Linked DNA regions of Nothobranchius furzeri. The protein of the gene in region 2 interacts with the protein of the main gene of each other region in a pairwise test. Links are inferred from orthologs where the notes say so. Each region holds a gene or a part of one and is shown on either strand. Other genes may lie near its edges.

Region 1 (16,964 bases), on a different chromosome or scaffold from region 2:
TGTGTCCCATATGGAAACACAAGTTTTCTATTTCTTTGTTGTTTTTGGTGGTTGAAGGTTACTGCCTGTAATCTTATTCTTTCTTCTTGCTTTTCTTCAAGTGCATGTGCTGCTGTAGCAAGTGAATTTCCCCACTGTGGGACAAATAACATCTATTCTATTTAACTTAAAGTACAACATCATTGAGATTCGTATTAAGGCGCAGAAGAGTGGAAAATGGCTCTTTTAGCCAGATTGACTTGTGTGAATGTACAATGGTGGAACTGCTGAAGCAGCAATGGAGCGTGGCTAGACTGACCTGCAGAGAACAATCCTTCAGCCTTTTCTACAGTCTGTCTAGATTTCAGCGCTGTGAAATTCTCTTTCAGGATCTGCAACATTTTCACTGTTTTTGCACCAACTCAGTTTTACCTCCATTTTTCTGACCGGGTTAGTCCATCTGTTGTTTTTGATCTGAACCATTTTAAATGAAAACATCAACACGTGATTTCCTGATTGAGTCTGAATATGAGCCATGATAACATTTTAAGTTTATTTAATAGGTTGCCACCTAAAGTTCATAACCTGAGTAAAGGTTCTAACTGATGGGGAGGTCCTGGACCAACACCCCACCCAGCAGCACCACAGAGGACAACAGTCTCACCGTCTCCGTCCCTTTTAAACCTCCAGTCCAGCTCGGGTTCCTCTCAACAGAAACATCACACTGGTCGTGGACATGTGTGTGTGCTCAGTCTTCTCTAAACCCCCAGTGAGTCATGGCGGATGGCTGCTCGTACAGAGCCAGGTTCTGTTGGGAGGTTTTTCCTGTTAAAGGGAGTTTTCCTCTCCACTGTCGCTACATGCTTGCCTATTATGAAGATCGCTGTAAAGCGACACAAGTCAGTGACTCAAATCATTTTGCTGGATTTCTTATATAGGAAACGTTTGACTAACTGGCATAATGAATTGAGCTCAGTAGCAGTTTATTTTGTCAAACGCCTTGAGAGGAATAAAACCAACTGATTATATGTAAAAGCATCTAAAGACCATGTATACATGGAGTTGTGACAACTGCAACTTAAGTCGTCCATTTCAATGTCATTAAAATAAACATTTTAATTTCAGTGAAAACTTTTTTCTGGAGTTAAATTGAAACTTTAGAAAATAACAGATCCAATTTTAAGTTGCTCCATCTGTAGCAGAAAGCAGAAGAAAAACACTAAAATTCCACCTTTACTAATTAAAAACACAAAAACGTCACCTTCTTCCAGAAAGCTCGACAGTTTAATGAAAACTAAAACAGTGAACATGGGAGTTGCTTTTTTTTATTGACTATTACATTTTTCAGAATTTGAGGGGTTTTATCATCATGCTTAAAAAAAACATTGTAATGTGACAATTTGTTAAATTCGACAAAAGAACTTTTTAAATAAATCAGGCTCACTGAAAAACAGAAATGCCAACTTGTAAGACATCTGAGACAGAAGTTCGACGGCCTCGTCGCTCCGAGCCAAAGCCGATGGAAAAGTAATACAAGACGGGCAAAGAAATTAAAAAGCATAAGCTCAAACATCATTTGAGAGGAAATTAAAATGTAATTCACCACAACCTGCCTGCATCATGTCTTCTGATTAAGTCCTGAAAACACAAAAAACCCCTTTAGTGTAAAAGAGGGAGAGTTTTTACGTGAACACGGCGTCCAGCATTTCCCCGTTACGGGTGACCGATAACCGGATGAAGAAGCAGCACTTCGGTATTCACCTTTTTAGATTAAATCGTTTTAGGAGCTCTCGTGGCTCACACAGTTAAACGAGACATTCAGCTGCTACATTAGAGTCTCCCCCTCACCCAGCAGCATGTCGCGTAACCATCGATGACATCACGCCGTTCCATAGCCGAACGTCTGATTAGTGTACCTTTGGCGAAAGCACCTGCGCGGTAAAACCTCAGTTGCCCTCAGAAGACGATCGACACCACAAATAAAATATATTAGGAACTCTAGATGCAGTGGATTTTAACGCTCGTCACAATTAAAGTGAAGAATTACAACAATTCTGTGTAAAATCTGCAAGAAATGTTCAAATATATTAAAGATCGGTGCCAATAGGGTCAAATAAAACCCACAGGGAGGGGTTTAACATCAGCCTCAATCAACTAAAACATCTAATATAAAACATCTGGACTTTCTGCATCACTTATTGGTTTAGTCTACCTGTGCAGCTATGGATAAATTAGGCTATAAGTCAAGAAATTAAAATAAAACACCTTTAAAATGTGTTAACATTAACGCGATAAATGAGTCCAAATTAAATCATTATTTGCTACAAGAGACGTTATTTTGATAAGGTCTGGTATGAGTATACACCAGCACACACACAGCCGTCCGCTCCCCCCATTTCAGCGTGATTTTGGCTTCAGGTCGCGATTCTGAATGCGAGCCACAAAACAGAAAAAATAAAAATAAAAACACACCCAGAAAGTTTTATAAAAATACGCCAACGCGTGCGGCTTCTCACCGTTGTTCCAAGAAAAGAAGATTGGGATCAGCTGTTAGAAAACTGAAGCAAAGGGATATCAAATGGCACGGATATATGCTGGAAGCAGGTTTTTGAACAATCACAAGTATCGTTAAAGTTAGTTTGTTCTCCCCCTCCGCCTCACACAGGCACCTGAACATGAAACAAGGAGGGAGGGGAGAGCTTCTAAAGAAGGGAGGAACTTGCATATAAGAGGAAGAACGAACACACACACACACTCCATCGCTCCCAACCTGGAAGCCAGCATCAGCATCCTTCAGGTGATTGCACATCCTGGTGAGAGGGAGAGTGGAAATAAACTGATTTTGACACAGACACACACACACACACACACTTTGGTTTGCAGCCGTAATATGAAATCTGAACAAATGGATCTTCATTGCTGCTGTGTACAATAAGTGCTTTAAAAATGGGGGGTGGCTAATAAAGTAAATATTAAGACTACAGTTTAACCCTGTTAACAACCAGACTTACTTCTATTTAACTGGATCAAGTTTTTGTTTTCACATAATCAGACTAAACTGTGGCAAAAAGGAGAGAATGCTACTTAATAACATCCTTCATCAGAACAGCAGATTGTAGTGACACACACACACACACACACACACACACACACACACACACAGGCTTTTTAACAACTAGAGCATCATGACAGCCTTTATAAAAACTTCAATAAAAGCTGTTGCACTTCCAACCTTTTGTGAACAGGCGGGTACGAACTGGGATAGAACCAAGTTAGCCCTCTGAAAGAAAAACCAACACACACACACACACACACACGAAAAGAAACCAGCAAAGATGGCGAGAACACGGTTAAAGATACAGAAAACATGTTGTGCTTTCTCAAAGAAAAGAAAACTATTTAGGCCAAAAAAAAAACTTTCATCCAAAGATTCTTTTTGGTGCGTTTTCCGAACGTCGTGCGTCTCCGACTCCGTGTTTCCAACAAGAGACCGTTACAGGACAGGGGCCGTTTGGCAAAACACAATAATCAGTATATCCATGGCTTATCGACACTACCTGAGTTTCGTTTAGTAATTCTGTGTTTAGCAACGTTTTTATGTTTTAAGTAACAGCGCAGAGCCATTCTTTCATAGATTTCTATAGCATTTAAGATAAAGGTCATCTGTTTACATAAAGTGCCAGTAATCCACACGTTAGCCAGATCAGAACAGAATTCAGGACCGTTTCTTGGAGAGGCTGAAAAATACGTATCCGCTCTTAAGGATTAAAACAATGTTGCCGCCAACCGGGAGGCAGTTGGGATAATTTGGGATCTCCAAGTTATTCCCTAGATTTAACGAGACCTGGAGACAAATAGAAGAGGAAGGAGCGAGGAAACTGTGCAACAAAGTGAGGATGCACTAAAAATAATAACCTAAACTAAACTGCAGGCTACACGAGCATCTCAGGACGTTTTGTAGCTCCGCATAACACATTTATGATGTTATTGCACACTAACAGGTTAATCCACAGCAAAAGGTTTGACACCACCCGTCTTCACATTTCAACACAAAGTGGCGAGCTGGGGACCCGAGGTTCATATTGCAATAGTTGTGTTACTGTTGTGATGAACAGTGACTCATTTACACCTGTAAACAAAAACGGTTTCCATAAACAAGAGCTGAAAACGAATGCGGACCAGATGAAGTGTTGAGAGATCCTGAGCGTTGCAGCTGAATTAGAAGCAGAGAATGGAGAACAGCTCAGAAGTGAGTGGTTCTTGTCCCGGGCCGTTCCGAAACCCAGAACCGGAATTTGACAACAGCCTGTGAATATCCGACGACCGTCTGTGTGAAATGTTTCAAAACTTCTGAATTTAACAGAGACCTGGTGGTGTCATAAGCACACCTGATGTTAAAGGGGCGGAGCTTTCCTTTAAACCCATCACTATCTGAGCTGGGTGGGGTGGGGGTGGCGGGTCATACAGCAAATTATATTCGGGTTAGTTCCGTTGAAAACAGCATAAAAAGGAGCGGTAATACATATAAAACTTCTGGGCTCTGCGTAGTTTCTCCTGTAAAGGATTTTTAAGACAAAGTTCTCCTTTTTCCTGCATGGAGCCTCACAGGCTTCCGTCTCAGCGGAACTCCCGACACCTTTATTCCACAACATAAAGGCTGTTTTTTTTTTTTTTTTACAGATCTTTCCTTCAGCATGAATTCAAGCTTGCACACGGAGGTGGAACGACTAACATATCTACAGTGAACTCATCTGAATGCATGAAGAACGAACATGACCGAGGCGTCCCGCAGCTGGGCCACAAAGCCGCCACAGTTCAACGGGATAAAGGCTTACGGAGGTGCGGTCAAGGACACCTTCCTTTGTCAAACCCAGAAAACTGTCCCATTAAAAGCCATGAGACAAGGACCACCACAGCTAGGAAGTTGCATTTGTCCATTTGTCAGAGTGGAGAGGCACCGATCGACTCGTCTTTAGCGTCCATCCAGAGTGTCCGTTGGTTTGATGCCCACCAAAAAATTAAAGTTTGAGTACGCCCGAGATTCCAAAGGAAATCATGCTTAGCTGTCAGTGTTTTCACAGTTGTCGCCACATCAAACATGATTTTTACTTTTTTTTGTTGTTTTCGTCGGCCCAGGTAGAAAACTGTAGATCTACCTCACTGATCAGGTCCATCCTTGGTCTCATCATAAACCACTACTCTTTTTGGATCTGCAGCAAAGAAGAAGAAAGGTTTGTCAACATCACATCCCTCCCACAGTCACGTGGGATTCATGACCGCGTCACTGAACAAAAACCACTAAAACCAATGACTAGTGATGCTGGGCACCCAAACACAAAGCAAGTTTTAAAGTCAAACTTAAAACGGTTTATTTACCTTGTTTTTGCACGTTAAAAATGGATTCCATTTCTGTTTGAGGGAGAAAAACGGAAATGTGTTAATTCAGCATCTCTGGTGTGTTCTCTGGTTTCCTCTAGTTAAAAACTTGGCAAGTTGACAAAATGTTCAAATGCAATTTTAAAAAAAAACCATCATGTTATAAAGTCATGCTTAAGTTTAAAACGTTGCTAGTTGAAGTTGGAGTTTAAAGGTCACTCGGGCTGTAAACCAACTTCTAGGAAATCTAACCAACACACTCGGCTGTCACACGAGGAAAGCTTGGAAAATAACAGCAAACTGGGGTTAGTTTAGTTGGCACACACACCAGTTATTACCCATTCACAGGACGCCATATTGTCACCAATATGTTTTACAGATAGAAGCGGACACCGTTACCTTTAGTGTGATAGGCGACAGCAGCTTTAATGTCAGAGGGCCCCCAGCTACACCTCCTGCTAGCGTCGTTCGGGTGGACCACTTCTTTAGAAGAGCCAAACAGCACAGTGGTCTGCTGGCCCTGAACAGGCTTAGCACCATTGTCTTTACAAAGAGCCGAGACAGAAGAACCTTTGATCTCAAACTTCGTTTTGTCCTGGCCAAATGGCGGGAACTTTGTCTCCTCCTCAAAAGCAGGAGAACGAGCGTTTGACGCTTGGCAAGGGGCACAAGTCCTTCTCTCAGAGTCTTTGAACAAAGTTCCAGGCTCTACAAATATTGGGCTAACATCAAAACACGGCAGGACCACCTTGTCTTCAACAGTCTGACTCTCACTTGGAGAAGTCCCAGAAGTCTGGTCCTCAGCAGGAGGATGCCCGTTTCCTCCCTCCAGCCCCAGGTTGGGCTCGTTGATGAAAGAGAGCCCCCACTGATTCTGGAAGATGTCTCCCAGGGCTTTCTGATTTGTCTTAGCAGCCGGTGGGTCGAGGTGACGAGCACTAGGGAGCACAGGTTGCATATTTAAAGGGTAGATTAACAGAGTACACTTTTTAAGCTCGTTAGCGTCTCCATCTACAGGACTTGTTGAGCTACAGTTACTTTCCAGAGAAGATGCTACATTCTCGCCACTTGGGACAGACAGGGCTGATTGAATACAACTAGCAGCAGGAACGAAGAAGGTGCCAGCAGACGGGCAGCCGTTTCCATTTCCAGAAACAGGACCATTAGTAAAGCTAGCTGAGGTGATAGTTTTCATAGCAGACATCGGGACTTGAGACAGTCTCATGGGAGGAGGAACCACTTCTCCACTTTGAGCTACTTTATTGAGGTTCTCTTTTACTTTACTTGCATAACTGATCTTAGGAACGATTTTAGCACTGCTATTGTCCACAGGAAATACGGGAGGGGGCTTGAACAAAGTCCACGGGTCCTCCTTTGAAGGAGAGGAGAGTTTGCCTTTGTGCCGTTCCTCTGTTTTCTTACCAAAGGTGCCAGCTGTTTTGCCATCGGAGTTTTTCCTTTGAGATTCCCCCACTGTAGTCTCGGGAACGACAGCTCGTTTGGCAGCAGACTGGGTAGATCTGCCTTTCTCAGTCGCCTCAGGATTCAAAGCCCCCAGCTCCTGTGTAGTGTTGCGGGGCTGCATGTCTCTCTCTTTTTCTTTTGTCACATTATCAGTGTTCTTGGCATTGTTACACCTGGTCTTGCGTTTCTTCGGAGTGGTGTACCCGCCTTCGGATCCGCTGCCATCATTGTCCCTGCTAGAATAGCCATTTGTAATGAAGCCACAATTTACGACACCGTTGTGAAGCAAAACAGAGTCTTTCTTATCCAAGCTCTGGAGGTCATCGTGAGTCAAATCCAGAGTCTTTTCCTTGTCATTTTTAAAGTCCATATTCTTCTTACGGTCCAGAAATTTGCTGCTCGCTTTTGGAGCAGGCGTGTAGAGCTTCTGCGCCCCTTTTTGCTTTAGACTGGCGTTGTGCGCATGTTTGTTACCATTGCCGTGGGAAGGAAGCGACATACCAACAGGATCAGACAGACGTAGATTCCTCTCTCCTTCCTCGTCGCCAACGTTTAATTTTTTATTGCCTAAAAAAAAAAGGAAAGAAAATAAGACGATGTGGAAATGATAGGACTCTACAGACACCACAAAATCTAACAACTATACGTTTATGGTTTGCAGTTTCTTGGAAAGTGATGTTTTAAGATTAGCCAAACACTTATTATGCTACAATTATCACAATGTATTAATGGCACACCGCATAGGAAAGGTGGATGGATACAGGAAGCACAGATTTACAGTGAAGCATCATGACTAGGCCTCTGAAGGCTCAGATTCGTGGGAAGTGCTGTGTCAACGTGGGACTTCCTACTCCACAGTGCTTCTCCACCCCAGTAACATTTATTGGCACAACACACCTCACATTCCTGTCACAGCCAAAACAATTAGTTTCATTTAGCAAATGTACATTTTACAGCGACTGTCAGCTTACGTTCGCTTAATGCTGACAGAGCCTGATCAGCTGCGTGGCTTCTCCAGACAACATTCAAAAGGGCCTGTCAAATGGCTAATGTCTGCTAATATCGCCTAGCTAGTAGCGGACAACGATAACACCACAGTACCGGTCGACAATGACGCGTAAAAAAACGTCCACCGTGTCGTTGTTGTCCATATTTTCCTAACTAGCCGGTTAGTGTTGCGTTAGCTAACTGTGATATTCTGACATGGCCGACCGGAAATGGCTGCACAGAACATTCCAGCGGAGCCGGCTCGGTTTCCTACACTGCACAGAGCTAACTGGAATAACATCAGTACAATTTAGGCCACTGTTACAGAAGAGTTGTTTTGTTTAGAATACAGAGGGACATAAGCGGTGTTTTAGAACATATTCAGCTACATAAGCCATTTAAAATTAGGCGGTGAAACCGGTGTTGTGCCGAAAAAAAGCGCCCCTGCCATCACTAGCACTCTTAGCGCAGAAAGCTAATCCCAAGGTATGTTCTTTTACCAATACACCGAGTAAAAGTTACAAATGACATACCTCCTCGTGTTTTTCTGGACCGCTGAGGACACAAGTATCTACATTTATATTAGAAAAATTAATAAAGGGTTCTTTTTTTCGGCACGGCACCGGCGCACAAGGTCAATCTGCGATCTGTCAAACCACCAGCAGCGACAACGCTCACGCAACGTCAGCAGATAGCGAGTATAATGTGTGGTTTCTCGTGTGACACTGGCTGACTATCTGTCTGATTAACCAGCTGCTCCGCCCGTCCTCAAAACTATTCGGGGCAGCAGCTAGGAGCTAGCTGGCTCCCAGTTACGTTAGCTAGCGAATGCTAGTCGGCTCATTGACATTAGCCGACTTTTCAGGGCGGCCCGACCTGTTTTCTTCGTCTGCGTTTCCTGATGCTGGCACTGGAAGTGGCTCTGATCATTTTTCAGACAAGCTGTGCGTTGAGTAGAGTTCCTGTCCTCCCCGTGGTGGTGGTAGTGCCTGTCTTGTGCCCGATCTTTGGGCTGTTCCTCCATTGAAGTGAAGAATGTCGGACGCGTTCCGCCTGTGTGTTATTAGCTCTCAGTCCAATCACTACCAGAGTCAAACGGAAGCTATTTGAAGCCTCTGTAAACGTCAGCAGTAAAATGTCTAAAAATGGCCCTGTTTTGGGTGGTCACTCCTCTGAAACCCACCTTTAGAATCAACTCCTAGGTGCTTAAAGAGTATTTCATAAGACTTTAAAATGTGCGCACACGTAGAAGTTTAGGATAACACGGGAGTGATTTCAAATTATATATATATATATATATATATATATATATATATATATATATATATATATATATATATATATATATATATATGGAGTGTGAAATAACGGGGTGGGGTTCGTGGAAGAGCCTAAATCATATGACCCGAGGCGCTGCCACGTCTCCAGCTAGTTGACACATTAGGGTCACAAGAGACCAGCCCCCTCCAAAAATGGAAAAGCAGTTAATTTATTTGCGTTATACAAAATTTTCTTGCTGCTGCCTAATGCATATATGATCAGCTTATTATAAGAAAAATTGACGTGTTTGTAAAATCATGCACATTTTTATTTTTACATGCTTTACCTGGCTGGAATCACACAGAGCCACATTTAAGGAATAAAAACACTGATTATTTGATAGACAGCATATCAATATTATTTATGTATTGCTTTGATTTATTCAACGGTAATTATGAAATAATAATAATAATAATAATAATTATTATTATTATTATTATTATTATTATTATTATTATATTTTTGTTGTCTTGTGGTAGTTGTAATAATTAAATAGTCGCGCCAGTGACTCCCTCTAGCGGCTAAACATATAATTTTCTAATCTCGCTTTAGAGCAGGAAAGGAAACACAAGGACAAATGAATCACCTAACTTCACCATTGTCTCTGGACTCAGAATAAAACCCACACGTATATAATTTAGCTCTACCATTTCTTTCTTTTTTCAACATGTCTCAACTGATGTCTGAAAACTGTGAAAGTTAAGTATCTATAGTAAAATAGACCACGCCTGTTTTAGCCTGACACTTTTTGCTGATATGTGCAGCCCTACTTCACCTTTAAAATGTGCACGTGACTGCTACTTTGACATAAAATATTCATATGACTGCTTCATTTAAAGGCAGGTTTTATTTTTTAAACGACAGGTTTTAGTGAAAGGGTTCTCTCCAGGGCACAGACATGCAGTATCTTTAAAATAAAAACGGTGTTCTGGCAGATATCGAGGGGTTTAAGATGCATTTTCTGCTGTGATATTTTTATTAACTCAGAGAAAAAGTTTTAGTGAAATTTTAGATTAGAAAGGAATTCATGGAAGTGTGGATTTAGTGTAAAGCACCTAAAAAGCATGTTAATATTTCTGACTAACAGCTTATTCTGACTGAAAATTAAAACATTAAAAGTACTAAAGCATTCGTATTTATTTTAATCCATTTCTTAGTTTTAGATGTATCAACAAATTTTAGGGAAGTAATTTGTTTAGCACTTTAAGTTTCACACAAAAAAAGGAATTAGATTTTTTTTTGTATCCTTTATTTATTTTCAGCAGTTAGGTTGTAATGAAATGTAAATTTGGTAAAACGTTACAATAAGGATCCATTTATTAAGTTACGTAGTGCATTATTAAGCTTTAATAAACTATTATTCAAAGTATTACAGCTTTAACCATATTATGTAATGCACTACTAAGCAGTCAGCCTCTAAGAAATGATAAAGAAATAATGTGTGGATAAAATAAAAATGCAAGTTTGAAGTCAGTCACCTTACTACCAGTCTTACTCCACCCACACTTCCTGTTATAATAATAATAATAATAATAATAATAATAATAATAATGCATTGAACTTATATAGCGCTTTTCAAAACCCCCAAAGACGCTTTCACACACTCTCACATTCACACACTGCTAGTGATGGTAAGCTACTTGTAGCCACAGCCGCCCTGGGGAGGTCTGACAGAGGCGAGGCTGCCATTTGGCGCCGTCGGCCCCTCTGACCACCACTAACGCTCTAAACTCCTTTTTAGCTCTAAACAAAGTTTGAGGAGAAAAACGGCTTTTTGGATTGTAAATGTTGCAGACTCCTACTCTAGATGGTTGTGCAACTGATTCTTTTTGGACCGTGATAGTGGACCTGTTGCAGCAGACAGGCACCATAGCCTTAAGGAGACGTTGGTTCCTCAGCAGAACCTCTCAGAACCTGTGATATGGGTCCAAGCTGCCTCTGCAGCGTCCTCCTTGTGATGAATCAGGACAGCAGTCAATCAACATCTTTCCTTTGGCTTTTCAACCTACTTCAGGGCTCACTGTCTTTTCAAAATAAAAGACATTCTGAAGATCCACTGTTATTTCAGACTTTATTATTTAATTTTTCTTGGATAATTTCTGTAAGATAAAATATTAATGTCTTAAAAATATAGATATATTCACTCCTAGAGTTATGCAGTAGAAATGTCAAGCCTGTAAATAAAAGTGTGACAACAACACAGCAGTAAGTGCAGCTCAGTGATATCTGTTATGTCTCAGTGATGTGTTTGGAACCATGACATTTAGGAGAATAACTGTTTGTTTCAGTTGGAATATAAGGATTTGATCGTTTCTGACTCACTGTAAATTTTAAAAAGTGCACGTCTGGCAGAAATAAAATGGAAAACAAACCATCAGAGTTGCATAAAAGCCAGATTTTTGCAGTGGCATCCTGCATGCAGTCAAAATGCATCTTATCTAGGGACGTTCAGTCTGTCAGTTTCAGTGAAGAGAAGTCGTGTCTGCCGTCCTCGGGGTGTCTTCACAGTGTGAGCTGGACATCCTCGTGTCGTAGAACCTTGTAGGTGAGCCAGTAGAGGACATTAAACATGAGGAAGCTCATGGGGAAAAGAGCTCTGGAGATGGTGTCGATCCTTTTTGCCCGTTCCACGAAGCGTCGCCGGATTTCATAAAAACCTAAACCAGGAGGTAAGTCGGCAAAGACCGGGGTTGCATCCATCTCTGGTGCAGTTCCTGCTGACAGAGCGAGTCCAATGCTCTGGAAGAGAAAACCCTGATGGGCCAGCTCCTCCTCCTGGAAAACACAACCAGACTTACTGAGACCCAGTTTGGGGTTTGACCACCTGCTGTTTGGTTGAACGGCGAGACGGCACACACCCTGGCACAGGCGCTGCAACGCTGGCTCACACTCCCATGATACGGAGTATTCCCTGGCGTGTTATTTCCCTTCACCTTACTGTCACTGCTGCCCTGCTAATAGAGAAGAGAATACACAACTTTTAATAATAAACAGATGCTTTATTTAGGAAATAATTTTTCCTAGATGGTAGACTCAGCCCACTTCTGCTCCCCTTTGTTCTCTAATATCCGACACAAGAACGTTTACCAACAGTGAAGTGAGGTGACTTGCATTAACCACAGGCCACTGCTGGCTGCCTTTCCCAGTCGGAGCGCAGCATGCAGCTGAACTGTTGCTCCTGCATAGCTGGGTGCAGGCAATAGCAGGTGACAGCTGCCCGAGGGCCTGAGTGGGTGGCTTGTACTCACAGTCCTCAGCCTTTGCTGCTCTTTGAGCTTCTTCCTCAGTCGGAAGAACTCCTTGTGCTGCCGTGAAACAAAGTTAACAGCTGCATACTCTAGCAGCGCCGCAAACACGAAAAGAAGACACACTGCCATCCAGATGTCTATGGCTTTGACGTAGGACACCTACAGAAGCAGAAAAATAATGTGTTTAGGAGGGTAAACTCTGTAAGGGTAGTTCTGTAGAATGTTAAATAAATAGTCCGACCTTCGGCAGTGAGGCCCTTGAGCCTGAGCTCTGCGTCGTCATTGTGAGCACAGTGGTGATCCCTAACCCCACTCTGGCCGGAGCGGCGTCCATGTTGATCCAGAAGGACACCCAGGACAGGATGACGGTGAGCAGGCTAGGTATGTACATCTGGATCAGGTAGTAACCCATTTGGCGCTCCAGGTAGAATTTGACCTCGATGCAGGTGAATTTGCCTGAAGACAGGAGGACAGTGTCAGCAGATGCTGACAAACCCAGAGTTTAGGACATCGTCCGGCTCCGTGTCACATACCTGTGTTGTAGTATTTGGTGCAGTAGCCAAGACCTTTCTCCTCTTTCAGCACAAACTGCGGGAGCATCAGGTCATCAGCCACCTGCACTGCTCCAACATCCAGCCACTCAAAGATGAGGTCATTCATCGTGTATCCAACTAGAGGTGGATAAAGGTGCACAAAGAGCAGCATGTTCACTGACAAAGTTTGTGTCCTTCTTATGGCTTTAGAAGATGAACTCACAACTCTCCAGCTGCATAGTACACATCTGGCTGTCCATGGGGAAGTTCTTCAGGTCCATCGGACAAGAAAGAGTGAGAGTCAGCCTGAAGGACAGAGACAGCAGTTATTGTGTCCTCATGTGAGTGTTTTCATCCAGGGTCAAAGGTTACATTTAAAGTAGACCTGTTACGACGTTTTAACAAACATATTGGCTCCATGACCTACATAAAATGTGTTTGTGAAGTTCTTTGCTCAAAAACCTCTCTCACATAAAGCAGTTTCATTAGTTTATTCTTGGCAGTTTCAGTGCCTTCCAGAATGAGCCGTTTCAGAGCTCTGTCACTTTAGGAAAAGAAGTCAGAGCTGGCCAATCCCATAATAATGCCCAAAATGGACCGACTGGTTGTCCCCGTCCTTTTGCGTAACCAGGTTCGGGTCAACCATTGAGAACTCTGGCTCCAACATTCTTCTTTGTTATTTTCTTCTTATCCAGCAAGGGCATCAGAGGTAGCTCAGGTTAGCATTAGCAGTAGCTCAGGCTGCAGTTGGCATTATCATGACTAACGTTGGTACAGGCAATGTCACAGTGGGTTGGATGTTAAACCAACTTTCTCAGAGCAAACTGTTTCTCCATGGCCATTACAGCATTTCTAATTTACATGGGAAAGCAGGTTTGAGACAACAGAGGCTTTTCTCATGGTACATTAAACACCACAAAGTTCCCTATATTAAACAACAATAACGTGCATGTGGTTTTAAAGGTAGATTACTCATTTAATAATACATTTGCAGTGGTCTCAAGTGGGAATGAAAGCCTTGCAGGCAGAACTCAGGGCACAGAGAGCTCACAAACCCATGGGCCAGCAGGACCAAGTCTGCAACATCAAAGCTGAGGTCTGAGCTTTAAACTTTAGGACAGCCTTCATTTCAGAAACCAGTAGGGAAGTAGGAAATATTATGATGCGTTATGATGCTGATTCAACATTTAAAAGCAGTGTATTCATATTTTATTGGGAATGTGCATGCAAACATTAACTGAATTTCTTTTGTGTGGTGCAATTTAAACTCTGACTGCTAGGTGGCAGCAGTTTTGACAGCAGAGTACTTTTCCAGAACACTCAGGTCCTTCATGGTTTGCAGCAAGATGCTGCATGACTTCTATAACTATGGTGAGGAGAGTCTCTTGGCTCATCGCCTGTCAGGGTAGCAGCATCAGAGTCAGGGATCGATAAACATAAACCTGATAAAACATGATACCACCGTGCAGCAACAACAGAGCATCTTCAGTCAGAGGCTTCTCCAGACCTGCTGTATTATTATTGCTTGAAACAATATGTGTTTCTACAGCATTTAATTTCTTCCTGGGATTATTGAAGTATTTACACATTTGAATTTTTACAGCCTCTATTCTGATGGAACATTGAGATAGGCCTGGCGTTTCACTGATTGTGAAACGCCAGGCCTGCGTTTTCTAAAGTGAATTCAATTTTAAAAATGGCAAACGTCACATAGCTTATTGTGTCCCCTGTGTTGTGATATATATATATATATATATATATATATATATATATATATATATATATATATATATATCATATCGTATCGCCAGATTCTTGCTAACACACACTCCTAGAAACCAGCAGGAAGCCGACGTCTTGTATAACTCAGCTTTATGCCTGGTTGCCTCACCGCTTTAGCGCCACTTTACTGACCTGATTTGGTGTTAGCCTGCAGTTATGGACCAACATTACCTTGTTTACAGTGCGTGCTGGATGGTGCAATTACAAATGAGCTCAGACAAACATAGCAGGGCGGGCAGAGAGCTTAAAGTTCAAGTCACCCCCAAATCAACTTTTTTTTTGCTAATAAACTCCATAAATGAGTGCCTAATCATGCTGTAGACACTCGTAGTGAATACTTTGGCACTTTAGTGCATCTTAGTTCAAATGTAAATGTTCTGCCTAAAACTGTTAGTGTTGTGCCATCTTCAGGTAAAAACTCTGCACTGCATTTGAGTTTAAATCCGCCATCGCTATTGGCTAAGAGGTTTACTATGACCTTAGCTGGTACATTATGATGTCACATTGTCGTCGTGAGCCTGTGTGTGTGTGTGTGTGCGTGCGTGCGTGCGTGCGTGCGTGCGTGCGTGTGTGTGTGTGTGTGTGTGTGTGTGTGTGTGTGTGTGTGTGTGTGTGTGTGTGTGTGTGTGTGTGTGTGTGTGTGTGTGTGTGTGTGCGCGCGTGTGTGTATTTGTTAGCAACTCCACCCTCTTGGTCTGCCAGGCAACAGCATTTGTTGCATTTTTCAAACAGGAAGTGGGAGTGGAGTGAGACTCTGGTAGGGGGCGACTTGCTCTTTAAAGTTTAGATGTCAGCTCTTTGGATGCAGAAGCTCTTGTTAAGTGGAGAGCCCGATTGCATATTATTAAAACCATTTCACACCAGTCACCTGATGCTGTAGAGGACATTTCCATTCTGGAATATCCGAAGAAGTTTGTTGTCTGTCGTAACTTCGTGGAAGTTTGCTCCCTTTTCATTTGCAAAAAACAGGTCAGGCTTCCAAATGGAGTCCAACATGGAGGGGTCCAAATCCAGGGAGTCGTCCGGATATTCCTTATAAGCCAGTCGTGGGTCGTTCCACTGTTGCCGAAGAAACACGTTAAGCCGGTAGTCCTACAGTATGCAGACAGGGTTAATCAACATAAAAGGGTCAATTTGAGAATTAGACACATTTATGAATATTATGCAAAGCTAATAAAAGTGAGAGGACTAAGAACAGAAGCAATAATTATATAAACCTTCAGCTTTTAGGCGAGGAAACAAAAAACAGGAGGCAGGAAGACGGACGGACATAAGTGCTCCTGACCTGAATGACAGTAAACAGCACTCACCAGTTCATGAATTAAAATTTAAAGGCTTCCAGTTAGAGGTATTTTAGTCACCTTACTCCAAATGTGAATAAATCAAAAGTTAAAAAGACACCTTCCATGTGTCATAAATAAAGAATACCATCCAGTTTGGCAGGAAAAAAACTCACGAAGCAATCTGAAGCGTCACAGTTAATAAAATAAAATAAAATATAAAAGAAACATTCTGAGATTTTTCACACAACACTAATGCAGCTGCTATTGCAAAATAAAATCACAAAATTTGATGCAACTAAAAGGAAACACTGTTAAAGTGTACCTTGTTGGATTTTAGCAACAATTCCAGAAACCTCTGCTCCACTACGCTTACGATAGTCGACCATAAAAATCACAGATTTGTGCAGGATGTGGGTCAGAATAGGGGTTTCCTTCTCCTGCACATAAAACTACTCGTACAGTAAAGTAGTTCAGCTCCAGGAGCTACGATGAAAACACGCAGCTTTGTGTTCAGACTGATGATTCAGAAATAATGCCATGATGAATGAATAATGCATCAGCCTCAGGGACCACATGGTACTTTCACCTCAGTCCTTGGATGTTGGTTGTACTTTACAGAAGAATGGATTTTCCATCTTTAACAGATGGAGGATTGCTTTACTTCCTAAATTCTTCAGAATGCAGTACATTTACTTACAGTATGACTACTCTGTAGTATTTTGGCTCCAGTAGAGGATGAGAGCTCATCTTCCTTGGGTGGTGAGATATTATTCTTATGCTTTGTGACACGACTCAGTGAAGCGGCTCCGCTAATAGGAAGCATTATTCAGAAACGCAAACCTTTAGCATAATATTCCATTTTATTATCATCTTCCGAAACATGACGCATGTGAAAGTTGATCAGATTTAAAAGTTTTCCTACAGCACTGAAAGAAATGTTAGCACATTTATTATCTAAAAATAAAATAAAATCTTTATTTGAGGCTTCAGAG
Region 2 (16,230 bases):
ATCAGCAGTGTAATATTTGCTCACCACTGAACATTTTCACAGATGAGACCTTTATTACAGCCTTGAGGAGCGAGGTGCACTTGAGGGGATTTGTGGTGCTGAATGTTGGCAAAAGTACGGAAGAGGTTTAGGGTCACTGAAAATAAAAAAGAAAAGACAAATAATTCAGACTTTAATGTCAGAATTTTAATTTAAAGGGATACTATGCAGTTTTTGGCTTGCTTTTAGCACCCTCTAATGTCCGTTAGTGAAAGCAAAATTGTAACTTATCTCCTGGCTGTGTGTTTGTTTTTTTAACACCTTAATCTAACAGCTGAAATGCCTCCTCAGCCTTTATTAGTGTCTAAGAGCAGTTCACTAAAATAAATTAGCTGTGTTTATGATCTATAACATGCAGGAGGCCTGCTGGAAGCAGCTCCAGGCACGCCAGCTCCACTTTACCAAGTCCAACAGGTAGCAACCCGCCACTCTGAAGTTGCAAGTGCGGTATTCTGGCTACAGAGGGTGGTGGGGGGTCTGAGTGACTTTTTATAAACCCTGTAAAAGGTCGTTTTAGCACATACTGGCTCAAGAAAATGATTTTAAAATATAAAAAAGTCTCATATTATTAATTTAATCTCAGAAGTTTTACCTTTTTTTGGAATTCTGACTTAAGTATCAGTATTAAAAAGTCTGAATTCTGAGATTAAAGTCAGAAATCTTTTATTTTTTCTTTCTAGTGGCACCAATCACCCTCCATAGAGAAAGGCTTTGTGTTGCTGCAGAGATTAGAATTAAAAACTCAATTTGAGTTCAGAGTCAAAACTGAAAGGTTGCTGTTCAGGCGAGTTGCCATAAAATGTTGACCTCACACTACAAGTCCGTGTGTGGTCTCTGCAGAACCCGCCACATTAAGACAAAAGCACTTCTTCCACTCAGACACAACTATCACTAACGTGGAAAGTTGTTATTGTGGAGTGAACCCATCTGAGGAGGAGACGGGCTGTTATTATGTCATTATGCATTCTGGCTGGAAAACATTTCAGCCCCCGTTCAGACCTCCTGCCACTCAGCCACGACCCTGCGCTCTAACCAAACCAGCCTGGTAGATTTCAGAGGATTGTCCCCATCCTCTTTTAACATGACACTGTCAGGAGGATTGGACCCAAAATGCAGAACATCACAACTCAAGGCTGGAGAGGTCGTTTAAAATAAAAATCCTTTTATTAGAAAAACCAAGACTGTAGGACTCTAAGCAAAGAATAACTAAAGATCTGTAGATGGAAAAAAACAAAAGCTCACTCATGAGCCAGGAACTATAAATCTGTAGAGGGCAACGCTGACATAAGACAATGAACCGACAACCGCCGGAGACACAGACAGGGTTATACACACAAGGCTGGGGTGATAGGAGACGAGGAGCAGGTGCGTGGGGAACTGGGTACAGGTGAAACTAATAACCGAGAGGAGGAGCAGAACGGAGCAGGGGAGGAAACCAGACCTAACTGGGGAGGGGAACACACACACACACACACACACACACACACACACACACACACACACACACACACACACACACACACACACACACACACACACACACACACACACACACACACACACACACACACACACACACACACACACACACACACACACACACACACACACACACACAAGGAGACTAAGAGAACATGGGGAAAACCTGGAGGGGGCTAGGGACCAAAGGGACACAGAACACGACAGACACTACAGATAGATGCGTGCATACTCCTGCTTACTCTAGTCAGGGGTGTCAAATATGCGGCCCACGGGCCAGATCCGGCCCGCAAGCGGGTTAAATCCGGCCAGCGAGATGGTTGTGTAAACTTTATTTTCATACTTCACGATGTAGAGTGAAAATAAACTTATCATTGTGAGCAAGTTTCCTCTGTAATGAGTATAAATAAAACAAAGCTGTGCTCAAGGCTCACACAAGAACTTGAATCACATCCTGAAGTTGGCCGCCACTCAGGATGTGACTTCTGATATTGATGTGCTGGTGAAAGCTAAAAGATGTAAAGTAAAATGAGTCAAATATACTTTAAGTGCTGCATGAAACTGATCTTGCCATGTGATCTGTAAGCTCTTTCAATCACTAAGGAATGTTTCTTTTATTAGTTGATTTTTTTATGTGTTGATTTTATTTTATTTTTTTCAAATTTTCAAGTATACTTCAGGTGTTGTACATGTACTACACTGTCCTCAGGCTCCAGCCTTGTTTTATATTGATTGTATTAAAACAAAGAAAACAATCTGAAGTTTTTTTTTTTAATTTACCGGTCCGGCCCACTTGGGACTAGATTTCCCTCAATGTGGCCCCTGAGCTAAAATGAGTTTGACACCCCTGCTCTAGATGCTTTAAAGCTTACATCAGACCCCCCCCCCCCCCTTATTTTTTCTTCTCATTGGTTATTTAAAAAAAGGGGTAAAGATCATAAAACTGAATCAAGATCTGATACAGGTCAGACTTAATGTAATCCCAATGACATGATTTAGATTAAATCTGCATTCTTTATCCTGGAAGTTATTTAACATGATCATTCAACCAATAGAAAGCTATTATACTTACACCTTATCAAAGAATGCACCTGCCCGAGCCAAATAGCTTTATTACTTTTTAAACTCATAATTATTATGTCTGCTGTCCTCCCAACAATCACTTTTTCCTATAATCTGTGCTGAGGCATGAAAATATTCTAGAAATGGGTTAGTCATGTGTTTTTCTTTATTTGATCACTGGAAAGGTCTAAAAGATCTCATCTCTGTCCCGTCATCCTTGGTGCATATTTCAAACCTTTTTTCTGTCTTTCTGTCAGTGAGCAGCGTTTAGAGTCCCTGCAAATGAATCCGAAAGATTGTTGTTCATTTTTGCTGACTGGAGTGATGATTTGTAGTTTTCACGTTTTCTAAACCGCAAGCCCGCCGTGCTGTTTTGGATTGATGTGTGAGACAACCACCACCGTCATTAAAACACCAAATGAAGGACTATATTTTGGAAGATGCCCTCCAGCAGGGTTGCACTAGAAGTGGAGGCAACATGTGGAGGCCCAACACCTTACTGAGACATTTATTATGGACCCTGTCTTTATATTTGTTGGTCTTTTCTAATCCTTCCCTTTAAAACAAAATGTTTTCTTACAAATCTTAATGAATTGGTAATGTAGTGTGCCCAGTCAAAGCTGTTAATCCTCTTTATGTGGAGCCGCTCTTTCCGCTCTGAGGCCTGCAAGCTTATCTTCAGCTCTGACCGACTGAAGCTCTTGCTGTGCTTGATCCGATTTACACGTTTAACTGATATTTATTATTTTTTTTCCAGCATTTCTTGGTAAAATCCAAAAGTGACTATTTTAAGTTCTGAATCCAACTATCGTCACTCTTGACTGAGTCCCTCTTCAGCGTGTCTAAATGCATGCACGTCATACGTGTTTCCCATAAAGGCTGCTGTGATATACGGCTTTGATTGCATGTACACAGAAAAAAAAACGTGTGCTTGCACATTCCACAAGTCAATACTTCAGGATGTGCACGCCATCTGAACCCCCCTCCTCCTTCCACCAGATTGCACAGTTAATATTTATGCGGGCGTTATTTTCTCTCATAGACACAGCCTGGAGGCATGATTTCCGGCTCCTCGCTCGCGTTTGCCTATACCTCCGTGCCTCCCACCTCTCCATTTTTCCAGGTCTCTCCCTGTATGAGTAATTGCTTTCACAGGTTGTGGCTTGTTGACTGCATTGAAGTGCAAACCAGTGCAGAGCTAAGTTGTGGGTGCTGGAGAGAGACAGCAAGAGGAATGGGCTGTGGGGGTCGATGGAGGTTTTTCTTGAGAGGATTAATGTCCCGGGGGAAGGTCTGCAGAAGTGTCTCTTTAAACCATCCTTTACCTCCTCTCCTTGCCTGTCTGATCATCCCCATCCTCCTTTTTTCTTGTTCTCTTGCCAAACTACTTTTTCTCTCTCTGTCCTTGGAGATTTTTTTGACATTGTTGAACCAGGAGATGACAGAGTGGGCCTTCCATAGTTACTAGTTGAATGGTTTTGACTGACGGCAGGGATTAATTAGTTTGAGGGGAGCAAACTTCCTTTTCGGTGTGTGTGTTTGAGTGTTTGTGAGTGTGTGTGTGTGTGTGTGTGTGTGTGTGTGTGTGTGTGTGTGTGTGTGTGTGTGTGTGTGTGTAGGCACACAGTACAACATCCTAAAATCTCTTGAATTCTTTTTTTAGTATAAAAAATCACAAAAACAAACAACTTCAACCTTCTGTGCACGTTTTTCTTGTGTAAAGCAAACTGCACCTGCAGCATAAACAACACACACACTCGCAAAGCTGGACTCAAAAATAAAATCAGTCACACACATTCGTAAGTACCCTCAGAAATGAGGAGTTGTGTCTTAAAGCACTGATCACAGGCAAGAAGAATCTACCACTAAGCTATTGATTAAATGTTAGAGTACCCCCTGCTGGTGGAAAGAGGTTCTACACAAGGAACCAAACTGTGGACATTATATTTATGACTGAAATCTGTTCTTAAAATAGTAAAATTAATTTGAAGTCTGATAAAATCCTGCAGCTCTACATGACGTTTTGCTCTGATATCGGATTTTATATGTTTGTTTTCATTTCTGCATGCCATCTCAGAGGATGCTGGAGACGAGGAACAGAAAACCATGTGTGTTAAATGTGAAGATGGTTTCTATCAGTAAGTGTCCTTAGACTGAGTCAGAACACTGTGTCCGCAGCATTTTTTTTAATTACTGTGTTTGTTCTCCAGGTTAGGAGCTGACTGCCAGAAGTTCTGCCCAGATCGGACCTACAACGTGGAGGACACCATGGTGTGTGCTGCCTGTGAAGATAAACACTGTGCAGTGTGTGACCAGTCTCAGTGCTACTGGTGTGATCATGGATTCTTTGTCTTTGGTAACAGTTGTCATTTTTGAGTTTCAATCAGTTTTAGATGGTGAACTCCTAATTAAAAATTATTTTTAACACTGATTGTTTCAGTTCATCTCATTCGTGTGTGTGTGTGTGTGTGTGTGTGTGTGTGTGTGTGTGTGTGTGTGTGTGTTTTGTGCAGATGGAGAGTGTGTGGACCACTGTGAGGAAGGGTACTTTGTGGATGAGGAGACCCAGGAGTGTGAGCCATGTCACCGCAACTGTCGCACTTGTGGAGGGCCCAGACATGATGACTGTGACTCCTGTGAGGACGGGGTGACACTGTCGGACGGGGAGTGTCTCGAGAGAAGAAAGCTGGTTGTTTGTCCTGAGAAATATTTTGTAAACAGTAAGTCCACACTGACCTGATCTGACTGGTGAATATTTTAATCTTTTGTGTTTCTAATCCAAAGAACAGGAATGCAACATCAGTAGATCACTTCTAAAATGACAAATTGTCTTTCTTTGGACTTAGGACTCTTATTTCTGTCATTCTAACGGTAAAATGTCATTTCTCATCAGATCAGGACAAATGTGAGCCGTGCCACACCTCCTGTAACACATGTTTTGGTGCAGAGAAGGGAAATTGCAGCAGTTGCCACTCTGGTAAATGGTTTCTATGCTGTAGTAAAATGTCTATAAGAACTTGCAGAGTTCAATCAACAGCACACATCCTGATCAGTGTGTGTAGATGTATGTATGTATGTATATATATATATATATATATATATATATATATATATATATATATATATATATATATATGTGTGTGTGTGTGTGTGTGTGTGTTGTGTATTTTCAACTCCAAAGGAGTTGAATTTAACTCAGTTTAGATAACATCAGGTCCCAGTCAAAAATAGAGTAAATGTACTCTTCAGCCAGTGTTACATTTTCAGTGTTAAGTACTTCCTGTTAGTTTTGTCATTAACAACAAACTAGACGAGTAAATGAAATAAACTCCATGTAGAGTAGACATGTAACACTGCATGTCTGCAGAATGTAACACTGACTTTTAACTCTGATGTTTGAGTTGGTTTACTCTTTAAATAGTTGCAAACACTTGGTTAAAATAAGTTGACACTCTATTTTTTTTTTACAGTGAATACTCCATTGAACACAATACAAAGACATTAACCTAACTTCTCTACTAAACTGGATGATTTTATAACTTTTTTGTGGTTTTAGGAAATTTTTTGACACCTCTTCAGTCTTGTCTTTCCCATTGTCCCTCTGGGACATTTGGCGATAAGACAACTGGTCGGTGTGAGGAGTGTCTCACAGGGTGTGCAATGTGCCGAGAAGCAGAAGTCTGCCAGGAGTGTCGCAAAGGACTTTATCTGCAAAATGGAACGTGTGTGGTGACATGTCAGAGGTGCTCCTGTTGTATGACTTTTCGATTTGTACATTCACCCAACAAATGCACATACGAACGCCGTTTTATCTGCTTCGTTCCCAGAGGGTTTCCGCAAGGTGCTGCATGCCATCCGTGTGCCTCAGAGTGCGGATCCTGCAGGGAGACTCCGTCTCACTGTTTGAGCTGCCAGAGTCCATTTTTGCTGCTGGATCATTCCTGCCTGTCCTCCTGTCCAGAGGAATTTTATAGAAACAACACAGAATGCCATCACTGTCCAGATCACTGCAGAGAGTGCAATCAGGATGGTCTGTGTAAGAGTAAGTACACTCGGTGGATCAGTGGGACGTAGAAGCCCTCTAATAAGAATTCTGCATAAACAACCTTGAAGAGTTATTGACCGGGATGTTTTAAGTGACAATAAATAAAACTCATCCATCCATCCATTTTCATCCACTTATCTGGGGGTTGGCAGTAGCCGAAGCACAGAGGCCCAGACTTTTCTCTCCCCAGCCACTTGGGCCAGCTCCTCTGGGGGGAATCCAAGGTGTTCCCTGGCCAGCTGAGAGACGAAGCTTGTCCTGGGTCTTCATTTAGGTCTCCTCCTGGTTGGACGTGCCCGGAAAACCTCACCAGGAAGGCATTTTAACCAGATGCACAAGCCACCTCAACTGGCTTCTTTCAATGTGGAGGAGCAGCGGATCTCCTCCGAGCCCAGATGACTGAGGTTCTCAACCAGTCTCTAAGGGAGAGCCCAGCCACCCTGTGGAAAAAACTCGTTTTGGCCGCTCGTAATCGCGATCTCGTTTTTTGGTCACTGGCCAAAGCTCGTGAACAAGGTGAGGGTAGGAACGTAGATCGACCGATAAATCGAGAGCTTCGGTACAACGCCCGCATCACTGCAGACGCAGCACCACTCCGCCTGTCGATCTCACGCTTCATCTTTCCCTCACTAGTGAACAAGACCCAGAGATACTTAAGCTTCTCCACTTGGGGCAGGACCTCATCCCTGACCTGGTGAAGACATTCTACCCTTTTCCGACTCAAGATCATGTTCTCGGATTTAGAGGAGCTGGTTCTCATCCCAGCTGCTTCACACTCGGCTACAAACAAAGACCAAGAATTCTAAATTTAAGCATATTTTGCAGTTTGTGGACATTATGTCAAAAATAATGTGAAAAGAGACTTTACTATTAAACATAACTGTGAAATCAAATAAAACTAAAACGTCTTTGAAATAATAAAATGAAAAAATTCCTCCACTGCATTTAGTCCCTTCTTAATGAACTGAATGCATGTTTAAGTTCGTAAAATCAGACATCATTGAGGTCTCATTTCAATATTTGTGAGCAGGAGAAATTTCAAACAATCGTCATTTATCACCTTGCAAATTTTTTGCTTTCTGTCTCAGAGTGTGCGGAGTATTACTTCCTCCATGTTGACGAGTGTGTAGATGATTGTCCTGAGGGTTACTTTGCCAGTGACAAGCAACAGGAGTGTGTGCGCTGTCATGCTGATTGTGCATCGTGTGACGGGCCAGGCTTTGATGACTGCGACAGGTGTAGCAACACAAGAGCTGTTCGTTACAATGGAGAGTGTCTGGCTAAGTGTCCGAGCAACACTTACTATGACAAGAATACAAATGAATGCAGAGGTAGGAAAAGTGAAATCTGAGAGTGCAACATTTGTGTTATAATCACAAGATTTTTGTCCTTGCTGCGGTTTCCAGAAGGCTTTGTTCTTGTTTCTTCAGATTGTGACAAGTCGTGCTTGACCTGCTCGGGTTATGGTCCATCCGACTGCCTCAGCTGTGATCCCAGCAGGCGCAAGGATGCCAGTGGGCACTGTGTGTGGTACAGTGAGTGCTCTATGGACTCATACATGGACCCAAACGGAGAGTGCCAACAGTGCCACGCACTCTGCAATCGCTGTAATGGTGCAGACAGAGACCACTGCCTCAGCTGCAACAGTCAGCGCTTCCTGCTGAGTGAGTCTTCCGACTTAAGACTTTTATTTCTTTGCATTTAAATACATTTTCATTGCATTTGTGTTATTTAGACAACACCTGTGTGAAAAAGTGTCCCGTGGGTTACTATACTGAGGTCAAAGAAGGGCGTGAGTGTCAGCGATGCCACTTCAGCTGCGAGTCTTGTGTTGGTAATCACAGTCTGCAGTGTGTCGCCTGCAAACCTGGATATTTTAGGCAGGGCGGCAGCTGTGTAGAGACCTGCTCAGAGAGGTAAACAATGCTTATTTAGAGAGGTTTTTTTTGGTGTTCATCATCTAAACTGAAATTCTATTTGTTTTTCAGCTACTTTGGCAACAGGAGCACAAAGATCTGTGAGCGATGTGACCCTTCGTGCAGCCAGTGCTTTGGTCCTGGGAACAGAAACTGTTTGAGCTGCAGGGGGAGCTATGTGTTCATGAAGCAGTGGAGGCGATGCCTGAAGAGCTGTCCTCTAGGATACTACAAAGACAAAAGATCTACCACCTGCTCCAAGTGTCACCCAACCTGCAAAACCTGCAGTGGTAAAAAAAAAGAAAGACGTACTGACGTCATGTGGGATAAGGAGATGAAGAACGTCTGCGTTGTGTTTTTTAGAACAATTGTTTTTGAGTCATGCGATGAGATCGTGCTTTGCTTAAAATTCCTGTCATTTCAGATGAAGGAGCTCTTGCTTGTCTATCTTGTTACGACGGCTTTATGTTTATGGGTGGATACTGTTATAACCCTTGCATGATTGGCTTCTATCCAGCCTCAGAGGTGACAGAAAACATTTATGTTTACATTAACTGGTTTTATATCAACAGTAGGACTGAAACAATTCAACATGAGTCAGAACAAAAGGTTCTTTGTTCCACCACATCTTCCTTTTAAGGAGCCAAACGTCCGCCAAAGTCTTAAACCATTAATGTGCTCTATCATTTTTGCACAGTACTGCACACACATACATGTTTTTGTGTTATTTCAGGATTCTGAGAGTAAAACACTCAAATGTAAAACTTGTGATCCTTCGTGTGAGGGCTGCTGGGGTTCCAGCTCATGGCAATGCACTCTGTGCCCCCCGACCCAGCTCTTATCTGACGATGGCCGCTGCTTGAGTTGCTGTGGAAATCCGACATTTCCGTACGATAAACCAATCCCGAGGGAGTGCTGTGACTGCGAGGCATCCCGAGGTGAACAAAACACTCACTGTGAAGCACATTTTGCAGCTAAAATAAGCCAATTGCTTCATCTCTTCAATGAAATTCCCTTTCACGAATTTGTGAATAGATGTGTTTATTCTTAATCATAAAATGCTTTTTTATGTGTGTAATTTATTTATAAAGGTCTTCCCTCTTTACTTCATCCAGCTGAAATGATTGCCAAAGTTTTAACTTCCAGCTAAACGGCTGTTCCCAGTATTTGATGCGGGAGCATTTCAACTGCCCTTGGCCTTCGTTTCTATAGATAAGGCGAACTGAACGGTTGTGAAACTCACTCAGAAATTCTTTGGGAACTGTTTTATTTTGTCTTTCAAGTCCGAACAAAAAAAGAAGAGAGGTCAATTTAAGAGATGAAAGGGCTACATAGGGGTTAAGAAAAACGTACAAATGTTTGATGTCAGCATTTAACCCCGAAATCCAATATGCTGACATAGTCTCATAGCCTGGCAAGACAGACTAAATAAATGTATTATTTAGTCTGGCAACGCTCCATTGACGGCTCTCAGTTGTGGGGCGGTTGCTACTGTTGTCTTTCAAATGAGCTCTGCATGCTACTGGACAATGAATGTGACATACTCACCGCAACAGCCATCGGTAAATGAGGCGGTCCGCAGTTGAAGAAGGAGAAAACACATCATTTTTTCTAAAAATAAGCTCTTAAATACATCTATCTGCTCCTGATTCTAATGAAGCCCAAGTTCTAATAGTCCAAAATTAATGTAAAAGCTCCATGCTTTCGTTCTTTTTTAAACACAGAAACAGTTTTGTTTACCTGTTTGTAGCTACAGTTTCGCCGACAGCTGCCGGCTTCTTCAGGCTGACGCTGATGGTGGCGCGTCACTTCCTTCTCCGTTTATCTGCGGGCAGCAGAGGATGTTGTCGCCCTCTACTGCCCACTCTCCCCTCTCCGACGATGCAGTCCCATGCGTGTAAACTCCGTCGTCCCTGTTCATGGTCCCACATCCACGTCTCCTTATCTCGATTGCTTCCTTGATCCATCTTTTGTATTTTTGTTGTTCAGTGGTTATGATCCGTGTGCTGTCCCAGTCCATTATATGGTTTTCTCTTATGCAGTGATCTGTTACGGCTGACTTCTTTATTGTACTTTCTGCTTCTTCTTTTGCTGCTCTTGTGTGTTTTCGATTTGCCTCTTTCTCGCACTCCTTTCTGGCAGCCGTCGGCGAAACTGTAGCTACAAAACAGGTAAACAAAACTGTTTCTGTGTTTAAAAAAGAACGAAAGCATGGAATTAGAACCACGACACAGTAAGAACACACCTAATAATGTAAAAGCTGTTTCAAACGAGCTGTCGCCATCTTGTTTCACTCTGTTGCATCATCCCACCCACCAGGTAGATAGAGTGCCCTGATTGGCCCACAAAGCGGATAAAGCGCTGTGATTTGTTCACTAAGCAGATAGAGCACTATGATTGGCCCACCATTATGGAACAGTCACAGCTCTTTATGTGTTTGAAACCCCTCTAGAGAGCTGTGATTGGCCAGCCAGAATGCCGTTAGGGGCTGCAGAGGTTCCAGTGGAGCGTTCCTAGACCAAACTTTGCAAAGCAAGAATTTGGTCTAGTTCACTAGGCTAATAGTCTCACTTACTCGGACACCAAAATGTACTGGTAAGTGGTCCCCTCATAAAAATTAAAAACTCGCTTTAGGTAACTAGCAACTCATATCTTCTATCATGATTACCTGGCCGTTCCACCAGACACTGAAGCGTCGCGTAATGCCTGAAAGAAAACATTGGTCATTCCTAAAAGAGAATTTATATCTGCTGCACACCAAAAATCTGTTATCATTTGTTAATATGCTTTCTCCTCTTCCTTCTTCTCCAGTGGAGTGCATCCTGGGGGTCAACTTTGTGATGAAGACGGTTGATGATGTAAACAGCACTCCTAGACTCTTCATCTGTATTTGTGTTGTGGTTATCCTCTTTGTGGGCCTAGGAATCTTCCTCTTCCTCAGCACTCGGTCAAAGCCTTGCTCCACGAAGCCTAGAACCAGAGCCGGAGGCTACGAGCAGCTGAACACCAACGGGGGCTTCATGCCACAAACCACCACCTCTGCGTTTGGAGAGTACAGCGACAAAATCACGGAATGTGAGGACAACGATGAAGAGTACGTTGATGAGGATATTGTGTACATGACAAAAGATGGAACGGTGTATCGGAAATTTAAGTACGGACTGCTGGATGATGATGATGTTGAGCTGGAGTATGACGATGAGAGCTACACGTTTAGATAAAAACATCAAACCAGTTCTTTACATTTTTCTGTGGTTAAAATTTCCTCATGATTGTGATGTAATTTTTTTCTAATGTGTCCTTTTAGAATATTTTGCACAATGTGTGGCTGAAGCAAGGTGAAACGTTTCTATTTCAGAATTATAGCTATTTAAGTCTTATCACTAACGTCTATAAATGTTTGTTATTGCCAGATTGTGTAACATACTGTATGACTCACAAGAAACAAACTGTTCAGTTCCAGTTTAAATGACAGTTGGTTACCGGACTAGTTATTCATAAATGTCATGTACCATTGTGAACGTTTTCTGAGCTCCAAAAATAAAAAACCCTACAAACATGTAGCAGAAGATTTTGCAAACACTTTCCAACAAGTGTCTCTTTACTAATGTTACTTAGTGCATTATTAAGCATTAATAAACTATTAAAGTATTAACAGCTACTTAACCATATTATGTAGTGCATTACTAATTACTTGTCCTAACCTTAAGGACACTTAATAACAATAAAGGTAAAAGTAATAAAGGGTCCCTTTGTTTATTAATGCTTAATAATGCACTAAGTAACATTAACATAGGGGCTCTATTGTAAAGTGTCATTTTAATTGCTTTTTTAAATTAATATTGAGCTGTAAATAAAAGACTTAACAAGGAAATACAAAAAATAAAGATTTTAAATAAATATGTGAAAAAACGTGTTGGTTTTGAAGTTCGGATCTGTGCAACACTGAAAAAAAGGGGGTGTAATAAAACACAAACTACATATGTCATCTTCAGAAATACTAATTTATATGGTTTAAAAATAATGCAAAAACATAAACGCTTAAACTGTTCAGTCTGCTTGCAGGAACCTACGCTCTTGCAATAACACCAGTATACCGTTGCAACAGACGAGTACAAAAACACCAAAATCATAACAGATTTCTTGTGATATTTTACAGATTTTCTGAAGCAGCACATTTGACTTGAACAAAACAAAAAACCAACCCCCCCCCCCCCCCCCCCCGCACACACACAAAATATACAAAAATAAGAGATGAAGTGATTAACGTGTCAACATTCATGACAATGTTGAGTTTATTGTCTGCATAACATTTAACAGAAAAAAAAGATCTAAACTCTAAACATTAAATATCCCAACTGAAACAAATTACAAAATGGCTAAATAAATCATGATTGAAGGTTTCACCAAATTTCTCAGGCACACACAGGCATTAAATCATCTCACAAGATGTTTCTTTTATAGCATTTGATGATTTCTGCAAAAATCAAGAGACCACATACTTTATGCAGAGTAGATTTCTCTATAGATTTTCAATGTGACGAGTATAAATTAATGTTTAAAGACTTTAAGAAAATATCAAAATAACACGTGGATCCCCCCCTTTTCAAAATTTTACCAATGTTTATACCTAAATAAAAGGTGACGACCTTCATTAAAGCCTAAGTGTTCTGTTCATAAATGAATCTTTTTCATCCATATGAGTCATTTTAAAATAAATTTAAGATAAAAAAAATATACCCTGCAGCAGGTCTCTCAACAAATCTTTCCAAAAATATTCCTAATAAATTAATGCATTATGGTTCGAAACCCAAATGATCTGAGAAGTTTCTAATTTCAGGGCCTAAATGATCAAGACTCTAAAATACAGAAAGGACAGAAAAAGGGTAAAAAGTACAGTTATTTTATGTAAATTCATATCTTCAGTAAGAGTTTTAATTATAGTGATACAACCCACAAACAATAATTGTCAACATTCTTAATTTTTCTTTAATTTAATATTGGTGCAAACTTCTTTACCAGGTGGTAGTACACAGTATACACAGAAAGTATTTATTTCCTCCCCTCTTTAAATGACTAACTATACAGCAGGACTAGTGAGAGGCAAAGAGGCAGACTGGTATGAATATTTACATAATTCATAATCTACTCAAAGACTGGCTGCATTTCAACAGCTGTTAGAACAAAAAAAAAACCTAATAAAGAAAAATAAAAGTGAATGAAAAGGCGGTTGTGGATATGCGCTAGCTTTGTTTGGGTGTCTCAGCCAGCTGTCAGTGACCATTAATGATAGTCTGGGATGTGGATGCGGAGCTTGACGATGATACTGGAGACGAGTTTGTCGTGTTGGTGAAGAAGTGGTCGTCTTTTAGTTTGCGATGCTCTGGGAGCTCCAGCTTGATCTTAGCCTCCTCAATGTCATTATTGATGGCTGCGATGAGAGCTTCTGTTGAGATGGAGATGGACAGAACAGAGAATGTGGGCGAAAGTAGTAAAAAAAAACAAAAAACAATAAGAACTTTGAAACCAGTGTATATTCATCTGAGGTAGGTGAGGAAAAAGGCGTACCGAGGGAGTTGTAGGTCCTCTCTGGGCGGATGAAGCCCACCAAGACGACACTCAGGATATTCCCATAAAAGTCCTCTTTAAATTTGTGAATTATGTGAGTCTCCTGGAATAAAATACATTCACGTAAACATTAATAAGGACTGCAGATGCAGCTATGTTAAACAGGTTTTATTTAAGCGAGAATAACTGAGATCAACTTGTATTATTCCCTGTTTAAGCATCCCAGTCTGAAGGAGCATGGAGGAATTCTGATAATAGCTGCTTGGAATATGGAAGCATCAGATTAAATTAGCAACTCAAACCTTAAAGAAATATTCTAGTCTCAGCCAAAACTGATTAAGTGTTTCAGCTGGCTCAACCAGGAAACTAGTTTGTTTTAATGTTAGCGCCAGCTGCTCAGCATTAGCTTAGCAAACATTTAGAAGATCATTAGTGAAGTTTTTCACTCTTTAACTAAGGTATCAGTGTGATCTAATAACAAAACAGCTTTGTGAGGATTTTAAATGACTTCCCACTAAGGAGACCAAACAAAACATCCCAAATTAATCCAAAAGCTAAATGAAAAAATCCCCTCACTGAATATTATATTTAAATTAGTCAACAGTCATTTTCATATGCACTGTATTTTTGCTCTAAATCATATTGGTGTTGAACCGCTGTTTTTAATTAATTTACTGCTATATCTTTATACAATGTCTTGTGACCAGACCATCACTGATTTAAAATCTCTTCTTTTACAAACGGTAAAGATGTGTGTGAGATCACTTTCTCTCTGACCCAGCTGGAGGTGAAAAACCCCTCTAATGGTTCTTACCATAGACTTCTTTGTATTTTTGTAGTACGGGTTCCAGCCGATGCTCATCACCATTTTGTACACATTGCTATTGCCCACGGATGCCCAGCCATAATAAATTCCTGTACGGATATCTGCTGGAAGACTGTCCACCACAGAGTCTGGGAAGTTTGCTGTGGAAGCGAGACAAATCGGCGAATGATTAAAAATGAAGAAAAACAGACATGCAGAGCAACTGATCAAGCTGAAATAGGCTAGAAGTGAATGAGGTCAACCATTTGTAAGGCTGGAGAGGTGATAATTTATAAAAACAGAAGGTGAAATTCACTTAGGCTACAAACATGGATATATATATATATATATATATATATATATATATATATATATATATCTTTACAGTGTCCTTAGGGGGGGAAATGGCTCTTTGGTTACAGACTTGGTGAAGACTGATATATCAATCAGCCAATATAATCGTCTTATATTTACCGGTTTTTTAATGCATATATGCATAATTGGCATTGGTCAATATTTGTCCTTAGTAATGTCGATTTAAAGTCAGGCACATCCTCTGGCAGCTCGGTGCTGTTGCAGTATTTAATTTAAGCCTATTACTGTCACTAATAACATCTGCATAATAAATACTCTAAATAAAACTTTATTTAGGCATCTGACTTTACCACTGAGAGATGCACATTAAGATAGGATTCAAAAATTGATTCAACTTCAGAAATTTTGTGCATGAATTGATGAAGTGACATTTTACTATGAAAATACGGTGAAAAACCTCTAGATATCAGTCATGAGAATCAGCCCATAAAAAATCGGCAGTACACATCAGCATGGGAAATAGAAAAACCATCGGGTCGGCCTCTATAGTAGACCCCTTCTCTATACTGTTTTACACAATATTATGGGCTGTATTTCAAAAGATCTACTCATCACCACAGAACTTTTGATGAAAAAAGATAATTTTATGTAATTTCTCTTACTTTGACTCTAATCAACATAATTTATTTACTGCTGTGTTCATTTTTATTAAAAGAAAAAAAACACTCAGTAAAAGTGTAGTAGTAAAAGTAACCAAAGTTCAGCAATTATATAATAAACAAAACCAACATTGAAATTATAAATATTAACCCTGCGTTTAAACGTTGTGGAATAAAATACTCCAAATCAATAATCTAGGGGTTATTTTTATTAAATGGGAATTTAACTATGAACAATCCGAAGGACGCACTTCAGTTAGATGTCAAGTCCTGTTACGTAACACATTTACCTCAACAAAATAAGAGCCGCTATATGTATGTGATTACCGGCGCACAGTCAAC

Evidence for each region.
Region 1: the proteins of pcsk5b (region 2) and nufip2 interact in binary tests that used the Homo sapiens proteins (3 or more experiments, as listed by UniProt). The two-hybrid records come from large-scale screens. The link is inferred for Nothobranchius furzeri from reciprocal best matches to the Homo sapiens genes PCSK5 and NUFIP2.

Annotation. Positions count from the first base shown.
Region 1 is NC_091750.1:49,395,669-49,412,632, reverse strand, and holds nufip2 (FMR1-interacting protein NUFIP2), read right to left. Parts: upstream 8,927-16,964; 5' UTR 8,831-8,926; coding exon 8,683-8,830; intron 8,476-8,682; exon of another isoform or gene 8,340-8,475; intron 7,927-8,339; exon of another isoform or gene 7,791-7,926; intron 7,387-7,790; coding exon 5,755-7,386; intron 5,389-5,754; coding exon 5,356-5,388; intron 5,190-5,355; coding exon 5,137-5,189; 3' UTR 4,640-5,136; downstream 1-4,639. Other genes in the region: glycine receptor subunit alpha-2, read right to left, coding at 11,629-11,901, 11,985-12,080, 12,375-12,533, 12,616-12,830, 12,908-13,045, 13,131-13,213, 15,558-15,781. UniProt on the Homo sapiens protein: Binds RNA.
Region 2 is NC_091757.1:46,946,798-46,963,027, forward strand, and holds the end of pcsk5b (proprotein convertase subtilisin/kexin type 5b), read left to right. Parts: intron 1-4,657; coding exon 4,658-4,718; intron 4,719-4,790; coding exon 4,791-4,936; intron 4,937-5,093; coding exon 5,094-5,300; intron 5,301-5,473; coding exon 5,474-5,557; intron 5,558-6,136; coding exon 6,137-6,323; intron 6,324-6,407; coding exon 6,408-6,622; intron 6,623-7,713; coding exon 7,714-7,956; intron 7,957-8,055; coding exon 8,056-8,289; intron 8,290-8,360; coding exon 8,361-8,541; intron 8,542-8,613; coding exon 8,614-8,831; intron 8,832-8,965; coding exon 8,966-9,066; intron 9,067-9,274; coding exon 9,275-9,479; intron 9,480-10,993; coding exon of another isoform or gene 10,994-11,058; exon of another isoform or gene 11,059-11,330; intron 11,331-11,352; coding exon 11,353-11,762; 3' UTR 11,763-12,100; downstream 12,101-16,230. Other genes in the region: rfk (riboflavin kinase), read right to left, coding at 13,815-13,987, 14,110-14,212, 14,924-15,075. UniProt on the Homo sapiens protein: Serine endoprotease that processes various proproteins by cleavage at paired basic amino acids, recognizing the RXXX[KR]R consensus motif. Likely functions in the constitutive and regulated secretory pathways.